2 linked regions of the Oreochromis niloticus genome follow. The protein of the gene in region 2 interacts with the protein of the main gene of each other region in a pairwise test. Links are inferred from orthologs where the notes say so. Each region holds a gene or a part of one and is shown on either strand. Other genes may lie near its edges.

Region 1 (7,810 bases), on a different chromosome or scaffold from region 2:
ACTCCCCATTAACGTCCACGTTAAGATCCTGGGTTTGACTTTTAGGGTTATGCATGGACAGGCACAATTGTACATCAGTGAACTTTTACATCCCTGGCAGGTTCCCTGAAGTCATGTGATCAGGGCCTGTCGGCTGTGCATCATACAAGGCTGAGAACTAAATGAGAAACAATTCAGACTCTGGAACTCTCTCTCCCACTGAGCCTGAGATTGTTGAACTCTGATCTCGTTAAAAAAAAAAAGCTTAAAAAATTTTAGGGCATTTTCACAAAATTATTTTACTCTGGTCTGACTCAGCTGATCAGTTTGCAAACTTGCTGCTTTTCCCCGTGTTTTGGTTTGTTTTCACACAGAAAAATTCAAGTGAATGTCAAGCGAATAAAAAAAATGTGTCATAACCAGTGTTGGTCAAGTTACTTGAAAAAAGTAATCAGTTACTAATTACTGATTACTTCCCCCCAAAAGTAATCCCGTTACTTTACTGATTACTTATTTTCAAAAGTAATTACTTACTTAGTTACTTTTTAAAAACACGATTTACAACCTGAATAGGTGATAAAGCGATAGATTTTTCTGCATAATCCATCATACAAAATGTAATCAAATGGAAATGTCTCTTTTTAAAGCTTGTTTTATTAGTGTTAATCTTTTAACTTTATGCATTAAGCAAAAACTTAATTATATGCAACATTCTCTGACTGGAAGAAATTTGTTTAACATTTAAACCTATTTTCTGCACATTCCAGCTCATAAAATAAAATATGTTTTTGTGTTTACACTCACTCTTTCAAATAGATGCAAGTAAAACACAGCAGAAAATAAATAAAATCAAAGACTAGCGGTCCTGTTGCTCTATTTTCACCTGTAAAGCAGGACTGGGGTAGGCGGAGGTTTACCCTGGTGCAGGTGTGCCGCAGCGGTCAGTGGAAGAATCCGCGAGTTTCTCTGTGAATTTCACATTACGTCGCAGTACACTCTGTGCTTGCTTGGAAGTTTAGGGGGTTTTTTTCGCTGTAAAAAGTTTTCTTCCCACGCACAACGGACACTAATGTTTTTGTCACTTTTTATGGAATCAAACTCAAAATAAGGTCAGTACTTCCACGCTTTAAACGCTGCATGCTACACTCTGTCCCGCACTCGATATATTATGATCTGCACACAGCTGTTGTCAGGAACGTCGCACTCGCTTACGTCACTGTCATGAGACGTTCTCTCAAAAAAATCACGGTTTTAGTAACGCAGTAACGCAGCGTTCCTACGTGAAAGTAACGGTAATCTAATTACCGTTTTTGCAATAGTAATCCCTTACATTACTCGTTACTTGAAAAAAGTAATCAGATTACAGTAACGCGTTACTGCCCATCTCTGGTCATAACAAATCATATGAGAATGTTCAGTCCGCTCACTGGCCAGATGTGTCTGGGGTGGAAGCAACAAAAGTAAATACAGGAATAACGTCCTGTGTGAGAAACCTGAGAATTTATGTTCATTTCACGGTTAGTTGAAAGGAGATTTTCTTGAGTTATATATAGAGATATACATTCTTACTTAGTTTAGGTAATCTGTGAGAGTAGTGGGTGTTGTTCTTTGCCGCAATGACGAAAAGTAACAGAACAGTCAAAGAGTGGGAGGTTTCTGATTAAGGGTGGATGAAACAAATAAGGTATCTTTTTTTATCTGTTTAATCAAGAGAAATCCACATCTCTTTGACAGATGCTTGTCAATACATGACCTTCCGGGTCTGTAACCACACAAGGTGTTATACACAAATGTACATTTCTGTCACTGGCAAATTAAACTGTAACCCACTTTTTTTTTAGATCATGGATGGTAATCTCTTCACTGTTGGTGGATTTCTGATTTATATTACATTAGGGGTGGGTTTTGATTATCGATTTTCTGTGTTTTATCCTAAGTTACTTTGACACAAAGGCATCTGCTGTGATGCTTACACCTTTGATAAAGTCTCACAAGTGTCAGCTTTCTTTTTATAGATATAAAAATATGGATATGTACTGATAAATGATAAGATTTATAATATTTCTGACTGTCTGAGGCAAAATTTCCCTGATTCAAATTGAATCCATTCGAGACCTTGTGAATCGGAATCGAATCGATTCTAGAAATCTGTGACGACACCCAGCCCTATATTACATACGTACAATATTGAATTTGAAAAAAAACCAAACATCCATCGCTTCTTTACATTTTGCAAGGAAAACGGGAAATACTTCACAATAGCAATCATTAAAAGAGTGGATGTGAAACTCTCAGTCAAATTAGCTCAATCAACTGCACTTTACTCCTTCATACGCACATCCTTACCGTGCCACTGATAGCAAAATCAATAATGTTAGTAACTTTGAATGCAGAAATTATTTGCTAAACTACAGTAATTTATTATACGTGCTTAAAGGAGGGTACGTCAGACCACTGTTGTGTAAAGGTAGACAGACTGCACGGGAAACTGCGTGTGTTTACAAATGATTCACAACTGCTCACTGAGTGGTAACGTCAACAACACATTAGCTTCAGTTTCAGCTTCACACCATTGTAATACACGAAAAAAGTTGAAATGTGGACAAACAAGTCTACAATGCAAAGACGATAACGTGGCAAAAAGCAGGAGCATCAGCACCACATCGCTGTCCAACAAAAACACCGACTTCTGGTAACATCTAATGGCTAACTGCTAGCCAGCTAACTAGCTGTGCTAACAAATAGCACAATGGAACGAACACCGATCGGTAAGCACAGGGACGTATAGTGTTTTAGCTTTAGGAACCACGGCGCACACCAGTATTTGTTCTTATGAATTAACATCTTAGAACCACATGCAAAGAAAGTATAGGTATTACATTTACTTGGCTCTATCACTTACCGGCTTGTAGAGGCCATGTCACTTCTTACTCTGCCTCAGAATCAAAGAAACAAATGAGTGTGGCACCTCTATTTATAACCTCTTCTGATCACGTGTCCACATGAGTACGGGAAAAGAAAAAGACCAAATTAAATAGAGGTAGCCTTCAGTTTCTTTTACGTTGGGCTGTAAAAATGCGTCACATGAATACGCAATATTTGTTTTGTTTTTGGACATTTTCATTTATTGTCAAGAACGATGTACAATGACAATACATTAATGGTTACGCGAGCTAAGCCAGCCTAACGTTAGAGTTTTCTGTGACATGAACGTGTCTGTTTATCTGGCTAATCGCCAAACCGTACTAAAACCACTAAATGATGTGTGAAGTGACTTTCACAGGAACGTGGATGCATTATAAACACCTATAAAAACATAAATAAATGTTGTTATGCTTGATTCTAATCTGCTTCTGACTGCAGCTGCAAAAACACAGAACACCACGAATTTCGTCAATAAAATTCATTTCAGTTTGAACTACTGACAAAGTATAGTGACTGTCATGTCTCCTTCATTACACCGTGGGACGGTAACAATCAATCAATCTTTATCGACAGACTTTATGTCCATAGTTAAACAAAAGAAACAACAAAACACAACACAACATATAAACCTTAATTAAAAAAATAAAATATTTGAAAGATATAAAACCATAATATACATAAAATACACATTTACTTAGAAATCAATAAATACACAAACACTTCAACCCGTGCTTCCTCAGAGTGAATGAGTAACGGGAACCACTCACTGTCAGCTCTGTGATTGCTAAAATTATACTGTAATAGTATTTGCCTGCACAAAGAGTTTCCACGTTGTCCATATATGTCATCATCATCATCATTCATTTAATCAGTAATAAAGTGACCAAGGTATTTCACCTTTTATGAACCTCAAGAGTATCGTCGGACAGTTTAAACACAAGGAAATTTAGCTGTTTATCTTGCTTTGTTCTACATGTCAAGATAGCACTTTTAACAGCGTAGTACTTTATATCATATAGCACACCATATTCAGTACAAATATTAAGAAGCTACTGTAATCCAGCACTACTTGGACTAAAAACAACCAGTTCATCTGCATACATATGATGATTCATCAATGTTTCACCTAATATACATCCAGTGTTACAGGTTCTCAGCTGTATGGACAATCATCATCAACATATAAATTAAATAAAATTGGAGACAAAATCCCACCCTGTCTGACACTATTGCTAACACCAAAGGGGGCAGAAATGCCACTTCCCCATTAACCTGCATCTTCTGATGAGCGTACCAGTAAGACAGAATCCTCACAATCTATCCAGGAACTCTCCGTCGCTTCAATTTATCAAAACGTTTTCCAGGGTTCACTCGATCAAAAGCTTTAGAGGCATCAATGAAACACATAAGGGCAGATGAATTTTAGGACCTATACAAACTGACTGTTCCCTTGAGTGCATATATGCACATGTCCGTGCCATGCTTTGGTTTGAAGCCAAACTGATTATCCAGGGAAGAGATGAACACACTAACTCTATCAAACAAGATTTTTTCTAGCACCTTAGATAAAATACTGGCTAGTGCAACTCAATTTTACAGCTTTGTCCTTTTTAACTGCTACAAATAAAATACATAACATTGAGTCTGGTAGTTTGCCATGAATCATAAGCCTTTAATGTCTAATTGTATGCAGGTTAAAGTTTCACTGTCATATTTTTAATGTTTGTTTGTTTTTTTATCTCTGATTGGAGGCACTCATAGGGATCATTTTGTGAGAAAGAAGGGTCATGGGCCCACTGTTCTTTACCAAAAGTGGTGATAATTGGCACTGTCCCTTTTCGTACTTGGAAGTGTTGGTGACTATGTGGTGATCTTCGAATTTTTTCCTGTAAGAGGATACCACAGAGAGTAGGCCTACTCGAACCTTAGGGCTAATGGATCCGCAAGGCAGAAAAGCCCAGCAATATCGGCTGTCTCCTCCTATCCCGTTATCTCTGGTTTTGTGTCGAGCCAGCTAACACAAAGAAATCCTGGCTATGTTGAACTTCATTCATTGTAGACTATACCCCTCACACTGTCAGATAGACCACTAAAGCAAACCTTTAACTACCGGCCAAAACAGCCTATGCAACAGACACATGGTACTGCATAACCTAACAAATACAAACCTCACATTGCACCAGACTGTGACACAAATTGTGATTGTGGTTAGCCTGTGTTGTAACACAAACCCATCAGTGGCTCAATAGTTGAGAAAAGTTAACTGAATCTTTCAAACTTCTTTATTTAAAACAAATCTTTAAACTGCACAGTTTTTTTTTCTTTTCATAAGAGGCAACAAAGGTCTGCCAGATTGCTGTCAGTTTGTCTGTGTGACTCAGTACCAGTCTGTGTAATAATTCTTTGGCATATGCAGGAAACCACAGTCGCAAAGACTCATATGATTTGGTCAGGTTTTGTGGTAGCAAAATAACAAAGGCAAGGATCTGAGGCAACTAAACCTGAGTGAGATAAACACAAATACAATTGTGTTTGCAACTTATATTAATGTCTGTTGCTTAAAGAAAATGCTTTCAGCTGCAGTCTGCACCTACTGCATTATCATTACATCAGCACATAAGCCAGGACAGTCAGTGTGCATCAGGACAACACCAGATGGAGCTAAAAAATAAAAGCAGTGACTGAGGTGTGGAATATGCACATGCTACGAGAGCTCTGCAATACTTACCATGTTTACAGTTATTGGTTATCATTCAGCATGATTTGGTTCAGGTTTGCTTGAACAGTACCACGACTCTGAGACTGTAACTCTTTGATGAGTGTATACATCTTATATCTGCAAAGCATGGCTGATTCTGGCTCGTTGAAAAAAAGCTTTTGTATGGTTATCCTACCAAAAGAACCAAAAAAAACAAAAGAACACTCCAATGTGTTTCGGTTGTTCAGGAAATGATACAGAGGACAGCTGTGCACAGCGAGATAATCTCATTTTTTGCTGCACAAATGATATTTGCCTGAAACATGGCCTCATGTGATGCGTTTATAAATCTTTTAATATGCAATAGCTTTATGAATATTTGAAAAATGTTATTAGCAATGATCAAAACAGAGGCAAAGCAGAAACATAAAAGAAGACCAACAGGAAAATGTCCCTCTTAATGGTAATTTACTAACAATGACAAATATAACATACATACATACATGTGCAGAATTCAGCGGCCTGTGAGGTTTATGACTGTGCTGGTTACTCCATTAGAGACGCACTGCTGCAAGCGGAAAATGGTTACACTTAAGCAGGCTATGGCATGGGGTTACAAAATGCTTTTCTTACTCAAGATCCCTTTAACCTTTGAAAATATCTTTCACTTTACACCTTCAAAACAGCCCAAATTATCAGGCTTCATACGTGGCTTTAAGTGCTCCTTCAGCCTTTTCTCTCTGTTTCACTTCCATAAGAATGGCTTCTTGACAGCCACACTTCCACTGAGACCATTTCTGATGAGGCTTCAGAGAACATTAGATGGATCAACTGAAAAGTCAGATGCAGCTCTCATGTCCTGTGCGTTTTGAAGATTCAGCTAAAGAAATGAGAACAGATTGTATGATTTTTGTGATGTGCTGCTAGTAATAAAGTGCCTAGAAATTTAACTTAAAATTGACACTTTGCTAAGCTGTCTGTTATGTGTGGACACAACTCATTTCATCTCTTGAGTCATTCAGAGTGCGTTTTATATGCTTTAATGATTCATAAGTCCGTGTTTAGTCTGGCGAGCCATTGCTCAAGAAAAAAAAAACAAGAAACGTCTGGCTCCTTGGAAGCAAATTGTAAAGAAATGTTCAGTGTCAAGATTAAATACCGTTTCACCAAATTACTGGAATGACTGATCTTCTGTTATATTCAAATCTTTTACAATGGACCAAAAATGCCCCCCAAGCCTTTTCAAATATTTTTGTTTGTCTTTCAGTATAATCTTTGTCTTTCTAGTGAAATGTTTGCCTGACTCGTGCTTTTTAATATCACTGATAGCGAAAACCCTTGAATGGGCCAGCTGTTTCTGTGCAGATTCCACTTGGAGATATTGTTACAAGTCACAGCATAATGACATAAAAATGGTAATGTGCTCAGTCTGCTTCTTTGTCTCAAACACATGCAGATGCACAAAGAGTAACAACTACCTCAGGGCCTCAGAGGTTGTTATCCATCATTTTCCTGCTGCATCACCACATTATCATTCTTTATGACTGTCATATTACTACATTTTCTTCTCTAAGTATATCCAACAAATCTTTATTGATTGCATTCATCCACCAATCCCAAGCCCTCCCCCAGCACATAGCTAGCATTAGATTAGTTAGTCTAACTAACCAAAGGCTGAATTTCCCTCTCCACTCTGTGTGCGCGTGTGTTTGTGTGTGGGTGAGAGCTGTATGTGCATATGGGGGAAATTAACTGCCATAGAAACAGGTCTGTTTGTTTGTCTTTGTTGGTGCTTTGTGGCTTTGAAAGAAGCTGAATGACTGTTTATTTTTCCTACTTCTACATAGGGACCTCAAATGTATACATGTGCAGTTATTTCACTGATTAATGCAAAGGCTGACGCAAGAGTGTGATGTTGTGCAGCGCATTCTTTAGAAATCTGAGACGGAGATCCATGCTGAATAATTTATGCCACTTGTAAGCCTCACCACACCGGCCATAATCCTCGCCACAGTCACATAAACCAAAGCAGGTTTGGCATGAGGGCAGTGGCCAAATTTAAACCATATGAATGGTTATAAAGGTGGTCATGGAGTGACTGGGAGTTGTGTAACAGCACTTTGTGAGATCAGAAGGTTAAGTGAGTCCGCTGTCTTTTTTCATTCACTTCTCTTTGTGCAAACACAGCCATCACAAGATGGTGTTACT
Region 2 (7,496 bases):
TATCATTTCTCAAATTTAAACTTTATCATTTCCACCCCTGCAGATGAATACAGGCTGAGTGAGAAGAGAAAGCGGACAGGAGACATATTCCAGAACCTGAAGCTAGGGCCCTTGCTATCTAGTGGTACGTTGATAAGATTTTTTTTTTTTCTGTCAGCTGAGCATAGTGTAATTGGATAATGGTTACACTGTTGTAACTGCACGGTATTATAAACACGTCTTCTGACATTTCAGTGACCACTCCACAAGATAGACAGCACCTAAACCCATCAAGGAGAAAGCTGACAGCCAAGCCTCCACAAGCTGGTGAGTCTGTTTCAGATGTTCCTTCCTTATTTGAACTCATTTGAAGACATACAGACATCTCCTCATCTTCCTTTCTTAAGGCAGTTGAGTCATTAGCGGTGAACTTTGTGTATGTGAAATATGTGAGAAGGATTTTCTGCAGTGAGTTCTCAAATCACTTGTTTGTGTTTGCAGCAGCTGTGGTGCCTACTGGTCCCCTTGGGGCAAAATCACATACCCAATACTTCCAACCTGGCCAGCTATTTTCAGAGCAGACAAAGGTAGAAGCCTCTAACATGTCAGCAGCTCCTACCAACCAGTGGAAGATGACAGGCCTGGGCTCCCAACCAAAAGCAAACCCAGTGTCTAGCTTTTCAATGAACCCATCACCGGCCACCGTCTCCTCTACCATCGCTTCCACTTCCAATCAGGACTACTCAACGGTCAACCTGTCAGATCTTCATGAATTCTTCCCCAACATTTCCTCGACTATCACCCAGCAGGAGCCCTCAGCTTCTCAAATAAACTTGGCCTCCTCACAGACAAGCAACTCCTTCGCCCTCCAGAGCACTCAGTTCCGGGCGGACCCAACACTTGTGGATGACGATATCCCAGATTTCCCTAGCTTCACTGAAGGCCAGGTCCCAGTCAACCTGGACAGCCTCAACATGGATGACTTGGAGGATCTTCTGAACCCCCAGCTTGTTGGTGTAAATCATCCTTCATGTCATCAGACTGGCCCTTCAGCCTCCTCTACCGCTGCCCAGACTAGTGCAGCACCTCAGAACACTTCTGACCCTGCCAGCACTCCAGGAAGCACTTGGATGAATTACCCCAACAGCATCGTGCATCTGCTCCAGAACGAAATCATGACAGACAGCAGACCCAATAACAACCAAATGCTCGAAGACTTCGATGAGTTGATGTCTGCAGATGAGGACCGTCTTATTTCCATTTTTAACAGTGGAAGCCAAGCTGGGTTTGTGTCAGGACACCCGACTTAAAGTTTGTTTCATTTTTCCAAAGACCAGTTGTATCTTCCCCTGTGGCCATCAGGACTAAAACTTCTTTATTATTGTAAGGCAAAAAAGGAAGTAGGCAGGAGACCGAATGTAGCAGCACTGCTCACTGTGGACACACTTCTTAAAATACCAGCAATGACTTTATGGTATTCAGTCTGACGCCTTGCCCAGTCATATAGTTTGTCTGATAAATTACAAAACCCATAATGTAGGTGATCAGATTTCATGCCCTGTGAAACCCATGTCCAGCATCTGTGACTAAATGTTTAGGTCACTGTCAACATATTGATGGTGGAGACAGATTCTCCAGCGAATGTTTTAAGAAGACAGACAGCATGGGTACTTTGATAAAGGTATCCGGTGTGGTGATTATTTTTGGAACATGTTAAGCATGTTTTTGTACTGTTATTTGAACAATTTTGCTAGCTGTAGCCACAAAAATGTGCAGCTTTTCTCTTTTTTTGTCTTTATACAAAAGGGTTCGTATATATGTAATCAGATCTAGAGGTAAGTCTACACAGATTATGTCCGTTCTTAAAAATCATCTCTTTGGATTGCACCGTTGTTTTCTGAAGGTTAACACAAACTATCTGAATGTTCTAGAAACAAAATGAAGGTGTACATTTATCAAACAAGCAACATTACTATATACGTGCTTATACTAGAGATTGTGCTTTTTATCTGGTAATAGTTTCCACTGCTCTGTAATCAGTTTTTCTACACTTATTTTATCAGTAATGGCTGCATTTTAACTCAACTGTTTCAGACTTGCTATACTCTGCAGTAAGGTGCTTTACTGAAATGTAATTATGTTTTTACATGTATTATGAAAGTGGATCGTACTATAATTGTGCTTTTTTTTTTTTTGAGAATGAGACTAACTTTGTCAACATTCAAAACACTGTTTTGGCAATAAATACCACAACGTATAAAGATGATTTTCAAAAGAATATTTTACTTTGCAACTCTGTAACTGTTATACAGTACAAAGGAAAAAAAAATAAAGCCGAACGCAAGAGACAAATGTAAAATAGCAACAAGGAGTGCTTCACTGGATCTTCTGAAAATGTGCATACAAATCAAGGACGTTAGTCTTCTTCCCGTCACTCGAGCCTGTTAGAATCTTGTTAGTACTACTATTCTTGCTTATGTATACAATATTTTCAATACAAAAAAATCAAAGTGTTTCAGGTCATTCAGAAAATTTTACAACACAAAAAGAGACAAATTTAGTGGGGGGGTTTTCTAAAAAAAAAAAAAAAAAGGAAGAACTTGTGATCAGAATTCAACCAATGATGTTCTAAATAGTTGCAGGCAGAGGACTGTACTGTCCAACCCATCTCCTGGGATCATCACGCACCTCTTCACATACTGTTACAGCAAAGCTCCTCTCTTGGTCTGAGTAGCTTATGTTACCTCAAGATTGGTAACTTTGTTGATGATGTGGGAACGCCTGGGCACACACTCCAGGTCGAACTTGCTCTCGTATATGGTGGGGCAAACATTCCAGCGGTTGTTCCGATAGATTCCCAGGTATGTATACACATCTGGCTTGTAGGAGAGAGGGCATTTGACCCCTGTGGCACGAATGACTGAATCCAGCCTTATGACCTCATTCTCATCAGTGAAGTTCTGGTTATAGGCACAAATGACCTGCTTGCCCTCTGCCTTGCGGTCAAATGGGGTGACTTTAACGAGTGAGATCTTGCCATCTAGGGCTGCTCTGGCCACACATTCCCAAGCATGGTCCAACTTGAAACCAGTGTCCAAGTGCATAAGCCACTTGCCTGAGAGTACCCTATGGTTCAGGGCCAGCTCCCTCACTGTCTGGAAGGTGACAGGCCGGGAACTCGCCAAAAGTTTCTCCCAACTCTCCTGGAGTCCTGTGACATCCGCACCACTGGGGCAGTGGTTTGGGCCCACCACAGCAATCCACCCCACAGGGCTGACGCCACCCTCCTCGTCTCCAAATCTGGACACTTGGGAGGGCCGGTTACTCTCCAACCAGCCATCAAACTCGGATCTGGGAGTTCTTCTAGAGTCAAAAACAATCCAGGGGTCCATGTCTGCAGCCATGGCTTCAGCAGCGTAGGTCTCTGCAGCAAAGGGGGTCCTCATCTCGCCATCAACAGGGCCCTCTTCTTCCTCCATAATGGTATAGCAGTTACACGAGTAAACAAGTTCTGAAGCCTTCCTGTTGAGTTGAAGAATGCAGTTATTATTTTTATAAAAACCACTGGTTTAGCCTCTGTGTTAGCTTACAACCCCTTTGCTGTGATTTATTAGCTTACAACCCTGCCAAACTTCGACAGAAGTGGACAACTGAATTGCTTATGAATGCTAATAGCTAGCCTGCTACAACAGCGAAAGTTAGCGTTTCTCTACCACTGATTCTGTTTCACACTAAAGCTGCTATCGACCCCAGTGTACCGCCTACAGCTGACATGTCAAAGAACACGTAGAACAGCTTTCTGACTGCTTTAGCCTTGTTGTAGCTAGCCGACAAGCTAGTCTTTATAAATGTACACGCTCGTCCTTTTAGAGAAACATTAACCATTTCTAGCCAGCTGTTGAATACAACTGACGCTTTAACATTCACAGTTTTCCCATTTAAAACGTAAATAATCGCACGTCGATGTTAAACTTTGAACATAAAGGCTTACTCTACCCGTAGATGTCCAAGTTTGTTGTTCAGTGTTGATCTTCCGCATAAGCACAGCAGCTCCTCCGTATCTAAGAGCCAAAGTCCACTCAGGTGGCTGACAGTTTAACTAATAATTATTTATACATCAATTAAATTTCGTACCTCGTCCACAAATTCGACCGTATGGAACACATGATATAAATATATATTTTTACGTTTTGCTATAACATAATTATAAAAATAAGTTATGTTGTACTAGATTCAGCGACTTTTAAGAAACTTGCATGTTCCTCGGTATGTGTACATGTTAAATATGTAAGTTTCCTACATCAGTGTTTGTGTTTGTTAAGCTTTAAAAAATAAACCTGTTCCATTACTATCGTTAAAGTATTTCGTTTCTTTGCATTTGCGGAACAACATGCGCTCCAACCTGACGGCACGGAGACCCTGCGGAAACAAACTGACCGCACCGAGGAACGAGTGACGAAGACGACGTGCTAACTAGTTAGCCGGATAGCCACCACTATCTGGTGTGTGCGCGGTGGAGGCGAATTTCTGTATGAAATAGAATACGAATATAGCATATATTGTATTTTAGTTTAGTTTAGCCACCCAGGTAATTTAATTATGCCCAGCAAAAAGAAGAAATACAACGCCAGATTTCCTCCGGTAAGTTTAAACTGTGCTGAGCCGGTGTCAAAGCAAGCTAACGTTAGCAAAGTGTAACATGGAAAGCTAAGTTCTGTAACTAGCTTAAGTGGAATTCGGCCTCTTTTGTTGCTTAGAGAGCAGACAAGCCATCTAACACTCGCAAACCATTTAGTTTACAAAGCACGTGCCTTAGTGAAAAGTAGTTGATTTCATGAAGTTAGTGACCAAACATCCCCTATATGTCATTAGTTGGTGGTGTACACACATAGCAGGCGTGCTATTTAAGTTGGTCTACTAATTGACGTTGTTTTTAGCATCTCAAGCTAGGCTAAGCGGCACGCAAATAAATGTGAATAAATCCATTCTTTATTATAATAAGCTGCATAATGTATCTACAATCCTCACACTACGTGACTAGTGTAAAAGGAATGATTGCCGTTACTTTGTGGGGACCTCACATTATTCGATGTGGTGTACTGCAAACTCTTTACTAAGTTGTCCCTGAATTTCAGTGCGTTTTCACTGAAAATGATTTTTTTTTTAAGGAAAAGAAAATTTTAAGCGTTTCTGTAGACACATGCATAAAAATCGACCTTTTCTCATTTCAGGCAAGGATTAAGAAGATTATGCAGACAGATGAAGAAATAGGCAAAGTGGCTGCAGCAGTGCCTGTTATTATATGTATCCTTTCTGCCTGCAGTCGTCACTGTGCAAGTTTTGTCTTGAATGATAAATTGTAAAAGTCAAAGACTGATTAATAATTAGAGAAAAATGCTTCCTCAGTCTGTTGTGTTGTTGTGTCAAGTTGTCTATTATTGCATGTTTGATGATTTTAAAGTTCAAACACACAACTGCTTCACTGTACTTCCCTTATCCAAGATATCAGCGAGAGCCCTGGAGCTTTTTTTGGAGTCGTTGCTTACAAAGGCTTGTCAAGTCACCCAATCTAGGAATGCAAAGACAATGACAACGGCACATCTGTAAGTTCTGTGTTTGTCTTCATTGTGTTGCATTGTGTTGGAGATGAACTTCTTAGGAAGGCAAAGCCATCTGCTGTTCAGATATATGCTGTTCAGGTATATTAGGGTCAGAAAGAGGTAGTTGAAGAAAAGGGGAAAGTTGTTTATATAGAATTGTATTTGTTTTTATTGAGTGTGGCTGAAATGCTGTCAGGCCTTTATTTTCTTTATTTTTAAAGTGGACTCATGGTGAACTTCCAGCTCGATAATTTCATTCTTGGACTTTACTAAAGTAGCTTTGCTTGATTCACATTTAAAAATAACGATTATTCATAATATACACAATACACTTATTTTAAGTCAGTTTTCTTCTGATTAGTTTTAACAGTACAAAGTTCTTTCATCTCATTCAATCAAATTTCACAAAATGGGAATTGTGCAAAATTTCAGGTCTTCACAGTCATTAGTTTACTCAAGAAAATAATCCTCAGTGAAATGTTGAAAATAGGAGTGTTTTTGAATAATTCCCTAGCATAATTTTTTTTCTTTCTCATCTTCCTAAGAAAAAATTGCCTAAAACACTTTAAAGTAGATAATGTCATATTAAAATAGCCCCTCAAAAATGATATTGGAAAATGTCTAAAAACCTGGAAATATCATCCCTTGAAATATTTTTGAGAAAGCTAATAACAGCCAGGACCTGAAACTTTCTACGATTCCTATTTAGGATGTGTATCCTCCACCTGGAATGTTTTTTCAGGTAAGATGGTGAGGTGAGAAAGCATTTGATGAACTGACAAGGACTGGCCCTATACATTGCAAAAAGATAAATAAATAAATAAGTAAGGAAAATTATTATGAGCCGCTTTTGCAAAAAAAATGGCATCCTGTTACACAGCATGATTTACTGTGTGGTGGGAGCCTGATAGTGCTGTGGAGCACATTTGCAGCACATTGCCGAATCCCTTGTATCTGAAAGTATTTCTGGCCTGTGTAAGACAGAGCCCGCCAAAACAATCTTTCCCTGTGACTCAGACTGTATGTGTTGCTAAAATGAGTATGTACACCATTAAGCTTGCTGTCTTTTTGATACGAGCTTACATTTCACTTGGCAAGTAAGGCTGAGGAGAAAACTGTTCATATTTATTCACAGAAAGCAATGCATTGAGCTGGAGCAGCAGTTTGATTTTTTAAAAGACCTTGTTGCAGCGGTGCCAGACATGCAGGGAGAGGGGGAAGAGAACCACACCGAGGGGGGAGGAGAGAAAGTCCCACGAAGGTAATATTTGCTCACACAGACACCCAAACATGTAGAGAAAGAGTCATGATGCTTTGAAAGCGAAGGAGTATTTCACATACACAGTGAAAACACTCCAGGGTGATATGAGGCAGCCAATCCAGCTGCAGATAATTTGGACTTATTTCATTAAGCAGTTTGTAATTCAGTCTGCTCTGATAAGTGCACACACGCACATCGGTTTAAACTAAAAATGATTCGCACGAACAGACAGAATCTGTGCACGTTATCTTTTCCTCTTCTGGAAATGAGCACTGCTGTAAATTGGAACCGACAGCTGCGATATGTCTATAATCCTTGCAGTGTTACCGTACTCCTATGTTCCTTTAGTTTTGTGATTCTAGATTATCTCCCCCAAAATAACAGAAGAAAATGAAAGAGTTGGCCAGAGCAAAAATTAATTATTGAGGAATTGTAGACAAGAAAATGCAGTATTGACTGTCAGATCAGACACCGGCACCACAGCTAATTTGTAGCGGAGAGCTTGGCGGGCAATTAGACATGAATTAAATGAGTAAGAGAAGGCTTCTTTTCTCTGAAGACTGCGGCTGATTGGATTCAGATTCAATTCAAAGTGGTCGTAAAACTTGTAATGTTTAGACATTTGGTGTCAGCAAGTGCCTCAGAGTAATTTTCAC

The links. The genes of interacting proteins can lie anywhere in the genome.
Region 1: the proteins of drap1 (region 2) and gtf2b interact in binary tests that used the Homo sapiens proteins (3 or more experiments, as listed by UniProt). The two-hybrid records come from large-scale screens. The link is inferred for Oreochromis niloticus from reciprocal best matches to the Homo sapiens genes DRAP1 and GTF2B.

Annotation. Positions count from the first base shown.
Region 1 is NC_031982.2:10,684,416-10,692,225, forward strand, and holds the start of gtf2b (transcription initiation factor IIB), read right to left. Parts: upstream 3,021-7,810; 5' UTR 2,899-3,020; coding exon 2,882-2,898; intron 1-2,881. UniProt on the Homo sapiens protein: General transcription factor that plays a role in transcription initiation by RNA polymerase II (Pol II). Involved in the pre-initiation complex (PIC) formation and Pol II recruitment at promoter DNA.
Region 2 is NC_031967.2:4,878,457-4,885,952, forward strand, and holds the start of drap1 (dr1-associated corepressor), read left to right. Parts: upstream 1-4,430; 5' UTR 4,431-4,578; coding exon 4,579-4,620; intron 4,621-5,210; coding exon 5,211-5,283; intron 5,284-5,488; coding exon 5,489-5,582; intron 5,583-6,714; coding exon 6,715-6,840; intron 6,841-7,496. Other genes in the region: rela (transcription factor p65), read left to right, coding at 44-124, 235-306, 481-1,289; lg3h11orf68 (UPF0696 protein C11orf68 homolog), read right to left, coding at 2,715-3,458. UniProt on the Homo sapiens protein: The association of the DR1/DRAP1 heterodimer with TBP results in a functional repression of both activated and basal transcription of class II genes.